Linked DNA regions of Lytechinus pictus. The protein of the gene in region 2 purifies or fractionates together with the protein of the main gene of each other region. This does not show direct contact. Links are inferred from orthologs where the notes say so. Each region holds a gene or a part of one and is shown on either strand. Other genes may lie near its edges. The genes, in order: MICOS complex subunit Mic60-like, dnaJ homolog subfamily C member 11-like and armadillo repeat-containing protein 1-like.

Region 1 (7,397 bases), on a different chromosome or scaffold from region 2:
AAAATGAACTTTGACCTTACCATGAGACCTCCAAACACAATAACATGCAGGTCTCCTAAGTACACCTACAACCCAGGTTTGGTATAAAAGTGACTTACAGTTGCAGAGTTATGTGTCACATCATTGACCTCAAAATGACCTTTGACCTAACCATGTGACCTCTGATTGCGCCATGACATGCAGGTCTCCTCAGTACATCTACAACCCAAGTTTGGGTGAAAAGTGACTTACAGTTGCAGAGTTATGTGTCATATGGTTTGTGACGGACGGACGGACAACATTTGGATCCCTAAGTCTCGCCTACACCTCTGGTGGGCGAGACAAAAAGTAATCATCATGAACTACATGCTCCTTCATAATTTACACATCTTCTCATATTTGAAACTACATCTAGTGAATATCAACAGATATGTACTTACTGGTTTAGATACAGCAAGTGGTGCCTCACTGACGGGAGTGATGGTTTTTGGTGAGCTACAAAGAAGAAAAAAATAGAGATGCGCGCTTGATAAATACTGGCATGATGGAGACAACACAATGTAGGAATAAATACTTGGATATTTAGATTTTTTTTGTTGAACAATTATTCAGTTCAGTTTAGTACAGACCAATATGGTTTGGTTTGGTTGCTGTTTTTATGGTAATTTCTATCTGGAGGGGCTTCATGTCTTATCAAAAGATAATGTATTTACTGACATAGCAACACACCTGGTTTATTGAATATCCCATTAAAAGTACTTCTTTGGAAGCCCCCCCCCCCCCCATCGTGGCCACCATATGTTGCAGTGCTTTAAAAAATCAAATTCACTCATAGATCTGTCGATTAACATACATATGTATAAAAATTGTATGCATATTTCTGAACACAGGTTGCTCCTGACAACCCCAAAAAATTGTCAGAGATTTGCCAGACATAGCAACAGATGATACATACATGTACACATTGGATTCCAAATACAGTAGTGATGCCTTATTACTGACAGGTTGGATGAATACATTGTAACTAGGCTCCAAAGAAAGGAACACCCATATGGTAAACCGGCCTATTTGATTCAGTTTCAATAGATACTATTCACCTCATCAGTCACTCTCCTGCATATGTTCTTCTTTTGTCACTATCAATCCTTTTCTATAACAGATATGGCAAAATGCCATTTTGCATCTGGCTATCTTGCTAAAGATTCTTTATTAAACATATCTTCATTATTCATATTCACCCTCATTATCCCACTATCCAATGACAACAGGAAACAATTTTTTTTTTCAAAATGAACTTTTCTCTTGATTTAATAATAATGATAATAATAACAACAATTATAAGAAAAGGAAGAAGAAAAAGAGGTAAGAAGAGGAATAGACATTTATATAGTGCCATCTATCGAGAAATAATCTAATCCGAGGTACACTATTATTAGAAACCAAGCTTTAGCTCGAGCTAAGCTTGAGCTATCTGTTACATGACACAATTAAAATTTGAAATTTGTGAGACATTTCCTATTTTTGAGCAAGGGCCATGAGCGCCCAGCAGAGGCGGATATCGACCCTATACAAGAACCCATCATCATCAACAACATCATTTTCTCTACAACTGTTCAATAAAATTGAAGAAACAACCAGCCTCAAAGATCGGTGATGCGGAAGGGGACTTTCGTGTTAAGACCTACCTGGTGGGTATCAACGGTTTCTTTCCTCCGCCAAGAGACATGGTATCTGCTTTAGACTTGCCGGTCTCTGCCGGCGATGCATCCTCATCGAAGAAGTAAGGAAAGACGTCCAGGAGCAAAGGCCAGTTACTCTCCACCTGCTTCCTGAATTCAGGGTTTGCCTTGGCGTAGGCTAACGTGCCAACGGTCGCTCCTACTCCTACCAATAGACCGCCCATGATGACCTTCCCCGCACCACCAGACCTACAAGAACAAAACAATCAAATCATGACTTCAAATCCATATGATAGTTGTGTAAATCTAAAGATCATTCAGGTCTACGCTTTAAACTGACTGTTTGATATAATAAAAATTTTAAAAAAAGAGTATCACAAAACACATGTTGTGTAAAACATGCAATCTTTGGCTAATCTGGTGCATGTGTCTATATATGTCTGTCTGTTGTTTTGTTGACGCTTTTTCCTACAGACAGTCACCGAATCGCCTTGAAACGGTGCCCGTTTTACCATTTTTACACTTGTTGATTGTCCTGGGAAAGTTTAATGATTCTGCCTATTTGGGGGTTAAACATTTAAAGTGCAAGGTGAAGGGTATTTGCTGACTCCGCAGTCAGCATGGAGTAGAAATGCTTCATATTATTCAATGCCTCCATCATATGGAATGAAGATTACGAGCACACACATACATATACATTTGGTTATGTATTCACTGCATGGTATATGTTACGCAGCCCCCTCAGTATCACAGCTTGGGCAAGATTTATCCAACACAAGGAGGCATGTACCTCACCAACGGATCATCTCACTTTGATACATCATGGGTGATGGCAGCCAGTATGATACAAAGTGAACATATCATACACAAAAATTGGAATACTTGAAATAATAATCTTCTATAAATTTCTTTTTTTAATGTTTGGCAACATTTTAGACAGGTTTTAAAATGACACCTATCATTTCATTTTTAATGTGAAAATCAACATGGGTATAGTACATCTGTGTTATTACTCTGGTATTCATCCCTGAATTTTGGTTCATAAGTTTTGGGGATACACCGCACACAAATTAATCTTAGTTTATATTGTGAATCAACTTTCCAATTACTGGCATTTAATTCACAATGTTCACTGAAACTAATTCATTCACAGAAGCATTGCCTATACAGTAAATTTCTCAATTAGTCTACAAAGCATACACAGGGAATCGCCTAAAAAAAAGTTCTGCCATGTGCCATTTTGACCAAATCATTTTTTTTTATTTTAATACAGGCCTTCAATACAATCGTGTTTTGATTCAACAGACTTACCTCTTTGGTGCAGATGGTGGCGGTGGTGGTGGCGGTGGAGGGGCTGATTTAGGAGCTCCAGCAGGGGCCGAGCTGGGCTTTGAACAATAACTGCATTGTCCTCCAGAATTGGAGCTCACCCGATTGGCCGTCCGACAATTACATGCCTACCAACAACAAAGGATAACAAAATAGATTAATCGGTTGCAATTTTTAGGTACATACATGGAAGGGGTTGTTTGGAATTGTTTTTGAGACTCATTTGTAAAATAATCTGAAATTGATAGAAGCTTACCGATTATTAACTTCCAGAAGAAGCCAATGGGTGATTTCAAGTCCGGTGTTGGCCTTGGTGTTGGTGTTGGAATTTGGATTGCTTCCCCTAGCTCCGAAACTTATTCAGAGTTTGTAAAACTGATCCAGATCACATTATTGACATCTCATCAACTAGTGAGTGACTTTTCGGGACCATCTCCATTTTATGTTTGGTGTTATAATCGTGTAAAAATTGACCTAACACCAACACCAAAAGGTCAACACTGAACTTGAAATCACCCAATGAGCAATCAGAAGTCCCAAAATTGTAATAAGTCATTTGAATTACCTGGCATTGCAACTTGATTTATGCAAACTGGATTCCAAACACTAAGCTTCTTTATTGTAAGGCGAGTGAAAACAACGGCCTGCCTCTATGTGCTTGCACTTGCTCATTGCAACCACCCTGCCTGTGGGGAATCTACAGGTAGGACTACCCGCACGGCCAATATGGGAGACTCTCTCCAATATGGGAGACAATCTCCCACATTGGAGACTTGCTTTGCAAAAGAACAAAAGAAACAACACCAACAAAAGCGTAATTTTTTCCACCCAAAATTTTGTCTCACTGAGGTCAGAAGCCCATTTGTTTTGTGTGTGGATGACAACAAAAATCCTTCTAAAAACAAAAGTAGTCCGTGAATTTTTAAAGAAGACGTTGAAAAGGGGTAATTTTTCATGAGGAATCTGCTTATCACATTTTTATTTGCCAGGAAGGTAATCCTCTTGCAGCAAATGTAAACGAAGGAAATTGGCCTCCCAAACTGGAGACTGTCTCTGAAATTGGATACCCAAATTCTTTAAAAAAGTCTCTAATATTGGGATAATCTCTCTCATGGGAGACAGTCTCCCATATTGGCCGTGCACCTCTACTGATGGTATGCCAATGCAGTACACAACACACAATAAAAAAGAAATCATTAAAATATCACTTTTGTGACCAAAAATACTTATTTCCATACACGATTACACGTTGCAATTTATTTTTCATTAGTAACTTGGGAGTAATTTTTGTATTCACCAGAGCGCTCGAAAACTTGAATTTTGGGCATATTTTTTTGTACGCCCTCTATTGGTGGAAAGTAATATGGCAAGACAATTGTCATTTTTCAATCTCTGTTTTAAATTAAGAAAAAATAATTTAAAGAATCAAATTTACTCAAGAGCCAGGTTATATGATGAATAGCTGTAATGGAAACTGACAGTGTAAAAAAATCATGCATTTTTCCCAAAGAAAAAGAGAAAAGTAAGGCGTAAGCCAAACATTGCCAACCTTATTTCACCACACAGGGAGTAGTAACAAAGTCAGAGAACAAGGTTAGATTATATCTACCTCGAGCGATGTTCGTGCAGGCTCCACTCCACTTCACTACCGCTACACTACGCTCCACCTACACGAATATCGAGACGGTGAACCAGTTCGGATATACTGAGTCACAAAGGTGGGATGGAAATCATGTTTATCGTAAAAATTAAAGAAAAAAAATATAACAAGAAAGATGAATAACTTAATATCTTACTCTACACCTGTATTTCACTCCGTTTCCATCCTCTGGTTATCCTCAAAATTGGTGATTTTGGGCCAGTATCTTTCTCCTCACACGTATTATTCACGGCTGATTTCAAAACATCGCATGCGATCGCGATCGGTCACAGGTCAAACCTTATATTCTTATATAAGCTTCCATAAATTAAGTGATCAACTTTAAACTATGCCAACGTTTATGATCATTGTAATATTTAGCATTATTTCTGTAAATAGTATTTTTTCCATTGCGGATTGCACACCTTTTTCTATGTTTTAATTGTTATTGCAAAGCACTACTTTATCCACTTGGACATGTTTGCAGCAATTTTCATATTTTCCTTGTCTTCGGTTACTCATCATGCAACTGAGGTACATGTATGTTTATACTCTAAACACTCACATTTGTATTTCTTGCGTTATATGTGACAAATAAAATAAATGAATTAGATTTTTCACAGGCATCCTCTCATATTTTCCTTTTTAGTCTCATACAATCAGACACTGTTGATTTTGTTTACTCCATTCAAACCCTATTTTTACCTCAACAAATAACATATTAACGCATAATTTGCAAAATCATCATTATATATATGTATTCTATAAAAAATCAGTATATTGAACTAATAAAATGTCGAAATTACTTAGTTAGATCAATTTTTATGTCGGACAAGAGTCTCTTTCGTTGAAATATCAATGAAAGGTGTCTCTAAAAGGATACAGTGTTCTAAATAAGGGAAATAATGAAAATTTCGATTTTATCCAGTTATGTTTGTGAATCTTGAATTTTTTTCTTTTTACCTCATAAAGTACGCTCCATACATCAATTCTACAATCAGTACTAAATAAAACATTATTTGATCCCCTTTTATTGAAATATATGATTTTATGAAAAGTCGTCATTCCGAAATAAAAGGTTCAGATGACGATGAAGACTAAATATTTTTCCAATACTATCAACAGGGCGCGACAAACCCGCTTGCCCGGGACAAGTGAAAATGACGTGCAGGCAAGCATTTCTCAAAGTCAATTGCCCGATCGGGCAAGTGGTTGTTTTGAAAATGAAAAAGATAAATTGACAGTAAAGTTTAATAATTTTTTGATAAATTGCAATTATCGGCCAATTATCTCTCATACAATGTCATACCTGTCAAAAAACAGTGGAAAGATGTCAAATCAGCGCCAATTTACCGACAATTTATCGCCAGCGGTCCCGTTCGATGGGGGCTGCCATCTTACTTTCTAAACTACAATGTGCGCATGCGCTACTAATCGACGAAGGAGCTAGCTGGGGAAACCCCTCTCTCACCCTCTGAGCGCATGCTCTCTATGCTCTAATACATCGGCGCTACAGTACATGTACGGACGTACACGAGCGATCGCGAGCCAGCCGAGTCTCGAGCTAGATCGTGCTGAATGCATGCAAGCTTCGGACTGACTCGGCCAGACCAGACGTCCCGTATTTTATTCATTTCTAAAACATTTTAGTATTTTTTAATTTTAAAAATATATATTAAAAAAACACCAAATATCATTAGGATTTTTGTTATATGATTGGATTGTTTTTATTTGCTTGATATTTGAACTTTTTCCTCTTTCTTTCTTTTCTATCTATCCTTCCTTCTTGCCCTTTTTTGTTACATATCTATTTTCATTTCCTGATCCTTTCTCTCTCTTTCTGTTCATTTTCTTTCTTTCCTTCTTTCTCTTAATTGCCTTCTTTATTACATTTCCTTTTTTTTTATTTCCTTCATTCCTTCTCCCTTCCATTATTTTCTTCATTTTTTCATTCTTTCCTCCCTTCATTCTTTCCTCCCTCTCTTTCCTCCTTTCTTTCTTTCATTATTTATTTCATTTTGTCCTTCTTATTCTTTTCTCTTTTACTTTCTTTCCCTTTCTTCCTTCATTCCTTCCTTCCTTCCTTCCTGTTTTCTTCTTTCTTTGTTTTTCTTTCCAAGAATGAAGGAAACATTTTCTTTCCTTCATTCTTTCTTTCCTCCTCCTTTTTTCTTACTTTCTTTTTGTCTTTCTCTTCTTTATTTTGACTTTCACACATTTATTCATCTTCCCTTTTCTTTTTTTTTTCTTTCTATATTCAATTCAAAGAATGACGGAAACCTTTTTATCTATTTTTATTCTCTCATCCTTTTTTTATTAGAACTTTCTTATATTTTTTATTATTTCCTTCATTTTCAAACATTTTTTCTTTCTTTCTTCTCAATTCATCTCTTTTCTTTCTCTCCTTCATTCTTTCGTTCACCCTCCCTTCCAATCCTGTACTTTTTTCACAAGTCTAACACTGTGTAGCCTTCTTTCTTGATCTTTTTTTTTGTCGATTGTCCCGTATTTCATTTTGTGAAATCTGGTCACCCTGGCCAGGACTCGGCTTCAACTTCAAACCAAATAAACAATGAGTCGTCAGACTAAAATTAATAGGCGACTTTTGTCGTCGTGATCGGCGACCAGAACCAACGTTCTCGCTACCACGCGTCACGGTTGGCGGGCGCCGACAACCCCGAAAATTTTCAGGGCAAATCCGCCAACCGTGAACTTCCCCGACAACCGTGGCCGACAACTGTAAAACAGGCCTAGATCCACACAAAAAACTG
Region 2 (7,794 bases):
TCTGATCTGAAATACAGGAAGCATGGACTACTTAATACCTCTCCCCCTATTATGATCTTTTTATTTCATAATTTGACCTAAATATACATGATATACCTCAAGCTTTTATGTTGAACCATGAACGTGTAATTCATCATGGAAAAATATTATTGATACTGGCAGGGATCCAGGTGGAAGTAGTAGGGATAATTTAAAAGAATAACAAAAAAGACCTAAATCCTGCTAAAATTATGTTTGGTACATGAAAGTCTGAAAATGGCGAGGCTGTGAAAAGGAAGATATCAATTGGTGAATTATGTTGGTATATTTTTTTAAGATCACCTTTTGTAAAGAATGTATAAATAACAAAAATAAGCAAGATATTCATTGCCATTTCCATGACCATGCCCAAAGCCATGAAAGCGTTTCACAACAAAATAGAAGTCATGCGGTAGCTACATGTAGATTTAGGTCAAGATAATGTCGAGAAAATGTGCTCCCAGTCTAAAACTGGTTAGACATGCTACTGCTAGATCTAAATCTTTGCAAAGTTCAAATCAAAATAATTATAATTTTTCTAAACTAAAGTTAACATGCATCACATATTTCTGAAGATGCTACCCTTGCATCAATACGCATGTTCCCATTGAATATATCAACATGAATTGAATGAAACTAGCAGAACTTCCAGAAGTTTATTCTACCAGTACCACCAGTCATGTAGTGGTAGTGGCACTGGCAGACGTCGACCCACCGCATTCTGGTAGCCAATCGCCCATCCACGCCGCATCATCCCATCGTTTGCACCCGGGCCAAGCGCAAGGCCCATTTCAACAGAAATGAAGATTGTTTTAACCCCCTGAAAATACAGATAAAATGCACAGAAATGCTATCGCTTACCGTTCACTTGGCTCTGTCGGTCGAAGCTGGGTTTGATGATTCCTGAAAAATAATGCCAATAATCAACAAATTCTCACAAATTTCTGAAATTCCGTTTGTTTGTGGGAGTTTTATCGAAGCCACGATGAAGTAGGGTAACTGAATACTAGCTACTGAAACAGGATCTCGATACTATACATACCGGTACAGTGTTGTGTGCGCAGACGTGACGTCGTTTGGGGTCACTTCACATAGCTTTTCATTTACTCATTGCCTATTGTTGACTCCATAAACTTTAATCTGAAAGCTGAATGGGAAGTGAAAACGAAACAATAAAGAGTTTGCTCCCGAGTTTGCTCTCCTTTTCTCTGAAAACCATTCCTGTTTACATCTAAGATCTGACGTATCGATAGGGTAAACAAATATGGAAATGGAAAGTGGGCTTCTAGAAAACCATCAGAAAGAAATGGTATGGAGGGGCAAAGCGGGTGGCATGGATGCTGCAGACACTTGCAAGATAGGGGGTAAGGGGTAAGAGCCACACCCCTGCCAGTCTGCCACACCCCTATACACCAATCGTGTGCATGCGATAACGTTCGGCAGAATACCAGGTCGGGTACCAGGTATCCCATGTACATGTATGTGCTCGGGAAATTCTGACAAGAAACATATGGATAGAAATTTTGCGCCATCTGAAAATTCCATTAGTCCTTCATCAAATGTTTTTAAAAGGAAATATAAATCCAACTTCTCAGTGAATATTCTATAATGTTTGATCAGGTTTACTTTCTTTCTTTTCCCCCTTTCTTTATTTTTAAAGTTATTATCGTTGTATATGTATTTATTTTGTGGTCATTTTGTTATAATTTGCATTTCCCCTTTTTATGTTCAATATGTTTATCTAGCTGGTATACATAACCGTCAAAATATATATAGTTCGCAATGACAGACTTTCAGTTTCCAGTTTTGTATAGATGGCAGCTCTATAGTGAGGTTTTGCCTTTTTTAGTTGCTTCTCATTCATTGATATATACTCTTTTTTAAATAAATTTTGATCAATATTGTACTATTTCACGATTTTCCATGTAATGTATGTAACTTTGAATTATAGGCCTATACCTCGTTTTGTTATGTTTTTTTAATTTTTTTATAATGAATGGAACACTGGCGTAAACCCTTGCGTCACACCTGTTGTTCAGGGGGGATGATCTATTGTTCCACCCCCTGAACAATAGGTGTAAAGCAAGGATTTACGCCAGTGGAATGGAATAAATACTTTCAATCTCATCTAATCTATTTCACAACTAGCAAGCTCACAGTCCCAATAGCGCAATCTTGCAAATTTTTTTAAATCCTGCCCCCACTCGGTATTTTGTTCTCCACTCCACAATGTTTTTATCTTTTAAATTCAAATATATTGTTATGGGGGCATTATATTTGGGGGGTACAATTAAGTCGCCCCCTTAAAAAAATCATCCAAAAGGCTGCGGGTGTCTACCCCACAGACTCCAAATGACATGACGCATAAGACACTCAAATTTCATGAAACTAATCACATGTGGGATCAGGGGCGGTGGAACGTAATTTTTTTTGGGGGGAGGGGCAAAGTAAAAAAAAAAAAGGGACACACCCTCACACTCATGTGAATGGGGCAAGAAAAGTGGAAGACCCGTGGTATAGTGGTTCTGATTCTCGCCTTGTAAACAGAGGGTTGTGTGTTCGAATCCCACCGCGGTCTGGCATACCTTTGGCAAGGCGTTAATCCACACTTTGCCACTTTCGACCCAGGTGCTAAATGGGTACCCGATATGATGTGAAAGGACATGGAAAGGACACTATTTGTAATTATCTTATACATTAACAGACTGGACATTATTTTTTGAAAAACCAAAAAAAAGAAGAAGGGTTATCTCAGACGGTAAACAAGGGCATGTTCAAACGATGCGTTAATCAGAAAGAGGAATTTCACTATGAACAAAAAGAGCCATGCACGAATTAGGTTCGTGGCAATATACAGATTTTGAAAGGTACACAGCAAAAACTGTGGTGTTAACCGGTGTACATAAGGGACCACACCAGTTATTTTACTCCGGTGTTAAATTGACAGTGTTAGTTTAACACCTATAGGTGTTATTACAACACCTTTGGTTGTTACATTTACACTCTTTGGTGTTATGTTCAATCTCTAGGGTGTAATTTTAACACCTCGGGGTGTGGTCCTCTATTAACACCAACTGGTGTCAGTTTTAACACCACAGTTCTTACAGTGTATTATTCAATAAAATGCACTTACAGAAGTGAACAGAACGGTATAATTGGCGCTGCATGAGCGGGCAGGAAAAAGGGTTCTTTGAATTTGAAGGTCAAAACCACCCCAAAAAATGTTGCTTTGAATGAATAGAGAAAAATCAAACAAGCACAGCATTGAAAATTTTGTCAAAATCGGATGTAAGATATTAGTAAAATTATGATATTTTAAAGTTTTCACTTATTTTGCAAAAAAAACACAGTTATATGCAGAACTATTGATGTGTAAATGAGAGAGTCAATGGTGTATCTCACTCACCATTTCTTTTGTTTTTTATTGTTTGAATTATACAATATTTCCATTTTTATCGATGTGACAATGAGGACCAACTTGACTGAACCATAAAATGTTAAACAATGTTAATTCTTCATGTTTAGGGAGGAATAAAAATGGTTTCCCAGGACAATGATATAACAAAATACAAAAAAAGTTAGTGGGTGACGGCATCATTCGACCTCATTTGCGTACCAACCTGGATGTGCGTAGACATTATAATGTCTTGTGAAATTAAGCGAAATTTCAAATTATTATAACTTTCTTATTTTACATCCGATTTTGATGAAATTTTTATTGTTATACTTGTTGGATTTTCCTCTTTTTATTCAAATCAACTTTTTGTTGCGGTGATTTTTCCTTTAACAGGGTAATGACACGAGAATGTGCACTTTAAAAAGCAAATTGGCACTCGTATATAAGAAAATAAAGCATGTGCATCTGAAATGAAAGGGGCACTGAAAAGTGACATTTTCTTGTAATATAGGGTCACTTTATGTGCCACAAAAAGTGGATGGCTTAACTGGCTTTCTCTCCCCTATACACCCCCCCCCCCCGATTACCTTGAAAAATAATTTTATGAGTAGGGCCTGAGTGAAAGGGATTCATTACCGATTTTTTTTTAATTAGTATTTAGACATTCTTTGTTTCTTCTAGGAATGGTCAACGAATTAAAAATAATGAATAATTTAATATTCATTTATAAATATGTCACTAGAGTTCAAACTTCAATTTACAGAGCTTCTTTTACTGATGAGACCCCCTAGGAAGCGTTTCATTAAAGCAGTTGTCGGAAAATTTATCCCTAGGGAGCCTGGACCCCCCAAAAAAAAAAAATCACGTCCAAGAAAAAAAGAGAAAAGGAAGGAGAAAAGGATTAAATAAGATATTATTTTCTGAATATTAATATGTCAAAATTTATCATTAAATTTAATTTTTTAATAAAATTTGTCCAAATTTTTGAAGGAGAAGAAGATATTTATTTATTTATAAAAAATTTCCTTATAGTGGGCTAAATGATTTAAATAGTTTATGACAGGGGCCGCGGAATGGTTTTGAAAGTGGGGGGGGGGGGGCTGACCATGCAAAAAATCATAATCAGATGGTCATTTTTACGTTCCTGTACACGGTTTAGGAAAAAGGTGCGGGGCTGAAGCACCCACAGCCCCCCACACTTTTCCGCGGCACCTGTATGATATATTGTTAAAATGCCCCTCATACAGCGCAGGATTACAGCGTATCATAATAAATGGGCGACACAATTTAGAGTTATTATGGAAGTTATTATTCCTCTTTGACAAAATTTTTCAAGAAGTTATATAGATTAACCGCTAGATGGCGCTATAGCTAAATCAATTTTTGATCACCAGAAAAAACACGAATGAAACATGGCAGCGCCCATTGAAGATCTGGAGCAGTCATCGTCTGATGATTATTACGCTATTCTAAACGTCAGGAGAGAGGTGAATATTATAGAAAATCGTCAGTGTGAAAGTTGGAGTTTTTGTAATGAAATTCTGCAGTTAATCATACTGACTGACAAAAAGAGAGTCAAATAATGAATTAAAAGAGTCCAAATGTGATCGTGCCCAGGTTATTGTGTGCAATTTTCCGTACATGCGAGTGAAGGGATGTCATCACGATTCCGTGAAATATGTATGTGAATAGCACATGAGATAAATTGCATGTGGTGTGCACGGTTATTGTGTAGGTGTGAAGCAACGAGGGTTTGCATTCTTCTCATCAAAGGTCAAGTCCACCCCAGAAAAATGTTGATTTGAATAAGTAGAGAAAAATCAAACTAGCACAACACTGTCTCACTGAAAATTTCATAAAAATTGGATGTAAAAATAAGATTAGTGTTATGACATTTTAAAAATAAAAAATGAAAGTTTCGATTATTTTTACAAAAGAGTGATATGCACAGCTGAGCTGAGTGACATGCAAATGAGATAGTTGATGATGTCACTATTTCTTTTTTTTTATTGTTTGAATTATACAATATTTCATTTTAAAAACAAATTTGACAATAACGAATAAGGACCGACTTGAAATTGACTGAACCATATTAAACAATGCTAATTCTACATGTTCAGGGAGGAATTAATCGTTGTTTCACTTGGGAATGAGGAGAAAATTTGAATATTTCATATAATAAAATACAAAAGAAATAGTGAGTGGATGACGTCATCAGTTTCCTCATTTGCATACAGACCAGGATGTGCATATAACTGTTTTGTGAAATTAAGCAAAACTTTAAAATGTCATAACTTTCTTATTTTACATCCAACTTTGATGAAATTTTCAGTGTTGTGTTTGTTGGAATTTTCTCTTTTTATTAAAATCAACTTTAAGTTGGAGTGAACTTGTCCTTTAAGTTGTAATCAGGCTTTTTGATGATGAATGAATATCTCTTGGGAAGAGTCCCTTTGTTTGGTGACAGCCACCCAAAATTGAAATTAAAGATAAGAAGAAGGTTAAAAATAATCTAAACTTTTCTTAAGTTAGATTTCTAGAGTAACTGCGTCATGTCAGTGCGAGGCAGGGGGTTGGTGTGCGGCCATTCAGCATGTAGACTCAGCAATATACCACTGAAATTACCAACACACTCTACATGTACACTACACATTCACTAACTCACTCCCACACTACAAAATCATCCGGCGACATGGGCAAAATCTTGAATAAAAAGTGAAATTTTCTTACCTAAATCGCCATATCTCGCACCAAAAATATCACCATCGGTACTTCTTAACATCGTAGTTAAGAAACAAGGGGTAAAAAAAAGTGGATTTTTCATGGTTTTCTCGATGTTCGTGGATTTTGAAAACGTGTCCTTACTAAAAACTGGCACTTTCGCAAGCCGATGTCGGTCGCCATTTTTTTCAGGAAGTCAATGTTACGACTGAAAAAATAATAAAAACATGAAAAATACGACAACACCTCAAAATGTAGCGGCCGTTGTGTGTACGCTCACTATTTTCACATGTGTTTGCAATGGAACTGCGCACTTAGCAGCGTTCGCGCGTCGTTTAGAGGTGAATTGCAGCTGCCTCACGGAGCTTGTGGGAGCGCCATAGGAATTGTACATCCTTCCTCCATGCACTTCAAGTTCCAGGCTTCTAGTGTACTACAATAATAATTCTTCCTATCTTCTTGCTTTCTAATTTCTCCTTCATGTTTCCTTTCTTTGAATATATCTTTCTTTTTTCCTTTCTTTTTCTTCATCCAGTCACCTAAATTCTCTCACTTCTTTTATTTATTCATTTTAATATGCTTAGTTATACAAGGACCATAAAAGTAACTTTTAAAGTTTTAGTTTAGTGACAGTGGTGCTCTGATGTCGTTTGGTGTGGATTAATGAAAATAATTGAAAAACCTCATATGTGAAAGGATAATTTTATGATCCATGTAAGGAGTGCTGTTTATATTGCTGATTTATTATGATATGGTGGATGAGGTGCCATGCGTTGCATTGGTCTGAAAACTCTGAATTTAATGAAACTACATGTACATGCCATAGTTTACTTTTATCCTTTTCAAAATGACTATGGAGTATGGATAAGATTAAGATGAACTGAAATTGAAATAATTTCATTCAAACTCATGTATTTTTATATCTCTTTCTCTAAAAAGAAAAATATAGAATACATTGAGTTCAAATCAAATGATGTAATACAATAAAAGAACATTGAAAAACTGTTAAATTTCAACAAAACAACAAAATACACAAGGTAATGAATGGGATGTACTAAAAAGCTACTGGCCTGTCATTGCTACTCCCCGCTAAATGCGGGGCTCCTGGCTTAAAGGCGGGAAAACATTGCTATGTATAAAACATTACCATCTGCAAGAATCTTCAACCATGAAGGAGGCAGATGTATTAAACCTGAAGAAGAAGAAGAGTAACTGACCATTTACTAACCAGTACTGAAAATCTTCCAATCAACCTTATGAAATATGTTATAATGGTTTGCAGGAATTTATTATTTTAAGTACCAGTAGAAGTGGACTTTAAAACCTAAATTATAGACTTGCAGAATTGAAAGTTTATTGGCCAATGGGTGGTTATTTAGAGTGCATCAATATCAGATCTAGAGCCCATTTCATAAAATTTGTTACAATAACAAATGGTTATTAAGAGTTTAAAGCTACTGAAATCATTCAATTTGATTGGCTGATGGTAAACTTGTTATAGAAATTTTGCATTTGTTATTATAACAAGTCTTTACGAAATAGGTCCGCAGACAGACAACTGAGTACATGTATGACAAGTGAATGTATCCTTGTTATTATTTTTGTTTGTGAAGGCGGACCAAGATGAGCTGAAGGCTGCCTATAGACGCATGTGTATG
Region 3 (7,796 bases), on a different chromosome or scaffold from region 2:
TACCGTGGCCTTTCAAGACAGGTGTCCATCAGAGACAGGTGGCCGCTAAGAAAGGTTCTGACCGTATCTGCAAGAGAATTATAAAATATAAAGGCCACCTGTCTTCAGTGGTCACTCATCTATTTTCTTTGGGCAGTCCTAAGTGACAGGTTGCAGCTACCTGTCTATAGTGACCACTGAAACTGATTCCCATGGAGGTAGATTGTGTGTATAAGAACCTGTCTATAAAGGCAACATTTTGTGTTTCCTTTGGGTTGTCACGACATGTATAGACAAGTTTTACTCTATTCTATAACACCATCGTAATAAATTATGTGATGCATGTGTTCTGTTGCGCCACTTATACAAATTTTGCCTACCCACTAGTAGGTACTCTTTGCAAACAAATCTTGGCCAAGTATCATGAAAAAAATGCAATCAACTGTATAATGAATTGTAACTTAATGTTTTATCACAAACTGTGCACAAGAAAAGCTGCAATCATAAATATTCATTGTATTTCCATGTGTGCACACTTTGTGCTAAACGGCAACATCAAACATTGCATGGTATACTGTATGGGAGTAAATGTACATGTGCACCTGTTTTTTTTTTTTTATCATTTTGAATTCCATTTTCATGTTGATTTGTTTGGTATGAAAAATATTGATAGTAATATTTCTTTTATTTCATCAAGATTTTCATAACGATCCATGTGCCAAAGATAGTAAAGTAGTAGTATAGTTATTTTGTTCATAATCATATATGATCATAAATATGTATTTTATTTGTGTTTTCTGTAAAATAACAGTAACATTAACAAAAATCCATCCCATACTATCTTTTTCTTAATTCTTTCAGATAATGCTTTTTTAAAAAGATTTTGTTTTTGTGATGATGATGAGCGAATAAAGTGTAAACATCTTTCAAATAAAACATTTATTTTTACTTTAAAATCATGTCACTTTTTTCCCCCAAACCGTGTGCCACATGTTTGAACAGGGGCCTGTCTTACAAAGAGTGGGATTGATCGGATCAATCGTAACTCTTTGTAAGACGGGGCCCAGGAATCCTACTATAAATGGACAATTAAAGCAACTGTCTGAGCAGCTTTCCTGCATCCCCCATTTGTTTGTCTAGTATGAAATATGAGAAATAGCGATGTAAAGATGATTTGTTCACAAACTTTCAGCATTACTCCTATTTGTGTAAGATCGCTATGCTTGATCTGTAATGAAATTCATAAGTCTGAAAAAATTGGAACCAGTGGGATTCGAACCTGCCATCTGCTTTCTGGGCAGATGTAAAGATGATTCTGATTTTTTTTCTGAAAAAAAATGGGGCTCTACCTTTTGGGAAGGGGCCTAGCAGATAACCCTTCTAACCTTGTTGTCAGTGCATTGAAATATTTGAGCCAAAGTTGTGATGTTTTCTTTTTCAACCATTGTGCATATCCATGTAAAGATGATAGGCTGAAGTTTATAATATGGGCGCGTCGTGGTCTAGTGGTTCTGACTCTCGCCTTTCAAACAGAGGGTCGTGGGTTCGAATGCTAGCCGTGGCGTGTTTTCCTTCAGCAAGAAATTTATCCACACTCTGCTGCACTCAACCCAGGTGAGGTAAATGGGTACCGGCAGGAAATAATTCCTCAAAAAGCTGTGTTCACCTGAATCTGTAGCCTAGCTTAGCCGGGTAATAATAATAGCAGGGCCCGCTGGGAGAACAGTTTTCGGAACTGAAGTGGCTACCCTGGGTAAATAAACCGTTATTAATATTATTATTATAATTAGGCAGTGTTAAAAAAATAACCTTTATAGTTTTCCTTCTTCCAAATACACATGTCACTTGGCTGTCAAAACCTCATATCTCAAAATTTGAAAATCTTGAGAACATCGCAGAATAATTGTAATCTTAGAGTAAAGTGGCAAGCGTCTTTTGCATTGAAAGATCTCTCTATAGGAATTAGGAGACTGTGTTCAGAAAATCCTTGTGTGAGGTTGCGACCATTGCCGTATGTCTAAAATACAGCCTTTTCTGTGCTGCTCAATTATAGAGATTAGGTTTTGACATATTTGAAGGGGAAGTTCACCGTGACAGTGAGGTGGTTCTAGTAAAAAACAGGAAAATTAGAAGAAAAAAAATATTGGTGACGGAAGGTTCGATGAAAATCAATCAAAGAATATGAGAATTATGAACTATTATTGTGGAATTTGTAATGTAGTATGCTAGTAGATTCAAACAAAGTATTTTTGTTTGTCATGTTCCATAAAAAAAAATGTTATTTATGGAATTCAAATTAAAGGGGTGCATGAAATAATATTTCTGATGATATATCCTCAGCACAAATAATTACTTTTATTTTCATTTTTTTTATAGAAAATTGCATTTTGGGGAATGTAAATCACATACAGGGCCCTGGGTATGATTTTTTAATAGGGGGTGCTGGTTTAAATTTGACAAGCCCCCCCCCCCCAAAAAAAAAAAAAAAAAAAAAAAATCAGTGGTTTTCACTACAGAATGAATGAGATTTTGGTTTAAATTACTGCTATTTACCGGTAGTATACCTTCCTGATTTCCAGGGGGCGCTGCGTATGGCGAATAACACACGCAGCACCCCAAGGCAGGGGGTCATTCCCAGGGCCATGATCACATGACAAATGGGGTAGCTGATTGTCTGCGACATCACAAAATAAAAAAAATAATAATAACTCTCTTATTCTATAATGGATATTCATCGAACCTTCACCAATATTTATCTAAAAATAATTTGCTTTTCTTATTCAAGAGGACCTTCCCCTTTAGACATTCTCATTGATTCCAGGCTACACTTCTTTGCTGCTGTTCTATTTAGGAATTTATTAGAATATGTCAATTTGCAGATTAATATCTTTTCATTAAGTATTTAACAATAACATTGATATCAGAAAAGGTATTTAAAAACCTTATTTATGTCATATTGACAGAGAACAAGGTTAAGGGTAAGTCCACCGGGACGGCAAGTTTGTTTTGACAAATGCAGAAAACTTTAAAAAACATGAAATTTTGTTGAAAATCAACCCCCCAAAATAACAGAGTTTTATATTTTTATATTTTTTCAAGTTGTGATGTTACTTACATGTGAGCAGCTTATTCATAGATAATTATGAATTTCCTATTTACCCTTCATAATGTTAGTAGACTGAAAGTATCTAAATTCCCTTGTTGGTCATTTATGAAGTATGACTGGTGATATAGCCTATTGAATGCACGGCGTAAATCTCTTTAAAATTTATGCGAAAATATCATTTTAGGAAATTTTTATCACCTGGAAAAAATGGGGGACCTGCTCACCTCTGACATCACAAAATCGTGATTTCAGCAATCTGTATCTCTGTTGATGCATTTTCACCAAACATTTGTGAATGTTTCTTTTATACTTCTGATTTATCAAATCCAGTTTAACGTAAGAGTGAACTCCCCCTTTAAAATGTAAAAAGAAACGATAACAGTGGGATTGGGTGGGCCTCCACTTACTATTTCTTTTTACTGAGAATAATGGTGCTGCACTAATGGAGATGATTTTCACTATTATTCCATTTGTATTTGGATCTGTATTGATCAGTGGATTCTAGAAACCGTGTGACAATGCTGTACATGATGTAAGTGTATTTTTTAATGTCACTTGACAGTATTCATATTTTTTTGTTTGTTATTTTGTAAAGTTAGAATTTGTAATAAAATATTATATTACAGATCATGAAAGAGAATACAATCTTCTCCCTTATTTGTTTTTGTGGCATGGTAATTAATGGATAATGAATTTATTTGGTTTGCAGAGGAAGGAATTAAATAAAAGATTGTTATGAAGTGGAAAGAGAGGATAAAGAATGGGATATGTTTAGAATGTTTTTGAAGGAGAGGGAGAGAGAGAGAGAGAGAGAGAGAGGGGGGGATTAATAGAGGTTTATTAGTGAATCATGAATCAATATCACAGATGGAATATGTGATATGAATATTTATTTAAATAAGATAAACTGCCATTTGAAAAAAAAATGTTTATAAAGTTTATATGTATCGACTATTACACTGGCTTGTGTATAAATCCACACACTAATAAAAAATGAAAGAAAGCTGCAGTGATGCAACTCTGTACAAACTAATTTTGACTAAAACTGTAAATTGAAACTTACATGCTTACAATTCTGCTAAATTAATTAGATCTAATACACATTTTTTTTTTCATTTCTAATATATTGGGTCTGTTCTTGCCGAAGAATGCACATTTTAAAATCTTTGATGTTAGTGACAATGCAGGCATCCAGAATACAAGAAGATACAAACCCCCAAGCCACCCCCATCTGTACACCATTGATTTATTCATTCATTAATCAATCAATTAATTTATTCATTTATCTTTTCATTTATTCATTATCATCACAGCCCGGGAGGGGGTGGAGGTGATCGATCAGTCAACTCTGTCACTACGACATGCATATGCACCAGTTATTAGACTTGCAGAGTTCAGTTGATTTAACATTTTGATGGGAGCTCCATCTATTTTCCCTAAATCAGGTGCCAGGACAAGTAAAGAAAACTTAAATAAAAATTGACATGATTCTTTTTATGTACAACACTCAACAGGCCACAGAAATTCGTTGATACTAACAATCAAGAAAGAATCCCTTTGCAGATACCATATATTATGACCTCACTTTGAAACCTCAAAGTATTGGCCAATAGAAAGGCAGTATTCAGGAAGCTGCAACCAATCACAGGCAAGAAAATTGTACACACCGCCATTTTTAAATAGCCCGTATATATCATCGTGCCGCTTATTTATTTCAACTTTAAATCAGAAGCAGAATACAGATTCGAGTGAAAAATTGAAGTAAATCTAAATGAGAGAAAGGAGTCATACATTTCTAGGCCGAGACGATTGTCATCATCACACATCTGTGTCGGTAAGAAAAGATGCGAGATCGAGGGAGATAGCAGCTGATCGCGCGCAGCGCAGCCGGGACCCTGTCCCTGAGGCTGAGCCTAGCCTGAGCTGAGCCAGAGACGGCCCTAATCACTGCCGGGACGGGCGGGGTTGCGAACGCTCCTGTTTAGGTAACCCTTACCCAGGCCAGGGAGCTCCGGCCCGGGAAGCGGGCCGGAGCCCAGGGGCCCGTTTCTCAACACATAGACAAGTTAGTCATATCACTCATAATCCACCAACCACGGAGTTAGTTCCAATCTTACTAAAAAAATACTAATAAACCTGTTTGTTTCTCGAAAGGCTTCCTATCCTAACTAGATAAGTTGAATTTGATATCAATACTATCGGTAAAAAAGAGCAGACGAGACGTAGCCTTGCCCTTATTTAGTCACAAAATAGCATAATTTTCAAAAAGAAAAATTATGACAAAATTGCAAATATTGTGATAAATTGGGAAAATAATCTTTTCAAAATAATAATACTAATAGCACAGGTGAATTATGCATCATAGTTACTTTAAATTAATAGACCATGAAGACTGGAGCATTCAATTACAGAGAAAATTAAATTATGAATCATTCATTTCATGACTAAAAAATCACTTGTGGGCATTGAGATGGGTATCCCAGGGATATCCAATATTGATAGTTTACGAAAGTAAACCATAACGCAAGGCTCCACATTAACTTTTTTTGGTGGTGGCCCGTTCGGGCCACCAAAACCTTCAAATAATTTTTTTTGGTGGCCCGATATTGATGTTTGGTGGCCCGGAAAATATAAAGAAAAACATTAAACATTCTGAAAGATTAATTCTGCAGCCACGACCACTAAGTTACTTTCACTTTGTACATCTTGTGTGTAAACCTTGTTTACTGTTATTTTACTTTGCTAATTGATTTGTGGTAAAATATAAATTGTTCTATCATTGTAAATATGAAATGATTGAAAGAGAATAAATTAATTGTGTGGATTTTTTTTATTCTCCGTATAGACACAGACTCATAATGGAAAAGTAAATAAATAGTGCATAGCAAACTCAGATAAATGTACAAAACAATGAATTTTCCTTTCTTCCTCTTTGAATCCTTAAACCTAGATTATGGAGGCCCCAAATCCAGTTTATTTTTTTTCTCTTTTGCAGCATATTATAGCAGGAGAAAATCACAGAAAAATATGCTGCAAAATTAGAACAATGCATAAAAGGGGGAAACAAACAAAAATAATTTTCAAAAAGTATATTACAAAAAGAAAACAATAATAATAAAAGAAATAAGTGAAATTAAACAAAAGAAAGAAAATGAAGAAAAAACAAAGAACAGGAAAAAATTAAAAAAAGAGAAAAAAGATTTAGACTAAACAAACAAAAGAAAATGAAAGAAAAATGAATAAAAAAAATTAATATAAAAATGGGGAAAGGAGGAAAAATTAAGAAGCCATTACAAATAATTTTTTAATAGTCTATTCTGACTGGAATATAATTAAAAGCCAAGCAAATAATTTTCACTTATCTTTTGGGAATGGCGCATTTCTATTTTAGTTTGCATTATTTTTTTTAGTAGAAACATATTCTTTAATCAGGCTTATTCAATGGGAAGGGGTATAACAAAATGAAAGAAAAAAAAAGAAAACGACATAAGTTATATCGGGAAAAAAGTGTGAGAAAAGTCATTCCCTATATTTGCCAAAATGTTTGAAAATTCACATTTCATATTAATAAAATGACTTCCCAAAGTATTTACTTTCTCAAGAGTGGTTTAAGAAGTCATGTATAAACAAGAAAGAAAGAAACTGTCTGTTTATTTTTGGCTAGAAAAGACACAGCTCCGAAAGAATCAAAGTATCAACATACATACAAATACACACATGGGACTGTGATGTACTCACCTATGGGTTTTTATGTGTATTAATTCATTTGGTAATCGGTCTTTTTGAGTCAAAAGAGAGGTCATAATTCCTCTTTTTAATGCTTGCAAATAATCAGGGTACACCAGATTTTTAGTAATATGGACTGTAGAAGGGCATTTCATTGGTGTAAAATGTGACTTTGACTTAGATTTCCAAAGTTCTGTGGAAGATTTCTTAGCAGCAACATTTCATATCGCAGCTCCCTGAGTCTGAATAGGCTGCCAGCGCCAGCGCACAGCTATAGCTGCGCATGGCTTCATGCAAAGCTAGCTCACTCCAGCCTGCCGGCGCGGCCGGCTGGATAATAGCTACTGTGTGCTGTAGCGGTAGTACTGTCATGACTATGCAACATTTGTGTGTAGATCAACAAAAAAGGCGCACGACGAACTGGCTTGCAATTTGAATTGTAGAAAGTTGATAAATGCGTGCAAAATCGGGAGAAAAATTGTGCTACTGTGAAAACTATTGGTTGCCCGATTCGGGCCACCAAAACATAACATTTTTTCAATACTGGTTGCCCGAGGTGAATTTCTGGTGGCCCCGGGCCACCGGGCCACCGCTAATGTCGAGCCTTGCATAACGGTTTTCTTTGTAAAAATATGATGATAATTATACGGTCTTTTAGTTTTACGATTCCAAACGTCATCAAATTCAAAATGTAGTTCAATGAAACATTTTTAATCATTGATACCGAAACATACGATATTTGACAAATTGTATGCATGAATTAGACTAGAATTTATCCAACTGTCTGAAAGGGGTCTGAAAACAACAAATACGAGTTCAGTTATGGATGGCCTGACGTGGTAGAATCTTTATCGATTAAATCATGGAGCTATTTGTATTCATTCTACTATTTATTATTTATTTCAAAATGAATGGTTTTGTGGCGTCTTACCAACAGTTTTTATAGTTTCATTGTATTACAGTTATCATTGAATGCATTAACCCA

The links.
Region 1: the proteins of dnaJ homolog subfamily C member 11-like (region 2) and MICOS complex subunit Mic60-like purify together in Homo sapiens (co-immunoprecipitation; 3 studies listed by BioGRID and IntAct, with this or other methods). This does not show direct contact. The link is inferred for Lytechinus pictus from reciprocal best matches to the Homo sapiens genes DNAJC11 and IMMT.
Region 3: the proteins of dnaJ homolog subfamily C member 11-like (region 2) and armadillo repeat-containing protein 1-like purify together in Homo sapiens (affinity purification with mass spectrometry; 4 studies listed by BioGRID and IntAct, counting the BioPlex papers as one, with this or other methods). This does not show direct contact. The link is inferred for Lytechinus pictus from reciprocal best matches to the Homo sapiens genes DNAJC11 and ARMC1.

Annotation. Positions count from the first base shown.
Region 1 is NC_087256.1:25,316,956-25,324,352, reverse strand, and holds the start of MICOS complex subunit Mic60-like, read right to left. Parts: upstream 3,111-7,397; 5' UTR 2,970-3,110; intron 1,908-2,969; 5' UTR 1,883-1,907; coding exon 1,665-1,882; intron 475-1,664; coding exon 420-474; intron 1-419. UniProt on the Homo sapiens protein: Component of the MICOS complex, a large protein complex of the mitochondrial inner membrane that plays crucial roles in the maintenance of crista junctions, inner membrane architecture, and formation of contact sites to the outer membrane.
Region 2 is NC_087258.1:23,414,559-23,422,352, reverse strand, and holds the start of dnaJ homolog subfamily C member 11-like, read left to right. Parts: upstream 1-4,782; 5' UTR 4,783-4,827; coding exon 4,828-4,902; intron 4,903-7,749; coding exon 7,750-7,794.
Region 3 is NC_087261.1:15,317,975-15,325,770, forward strand, and holds the start of armadillo repeat-containing protein 1-like, read left to right. Parts: upstream 1-4,725; 5' UTR 4,726-4,919; intron 4,920-7,796.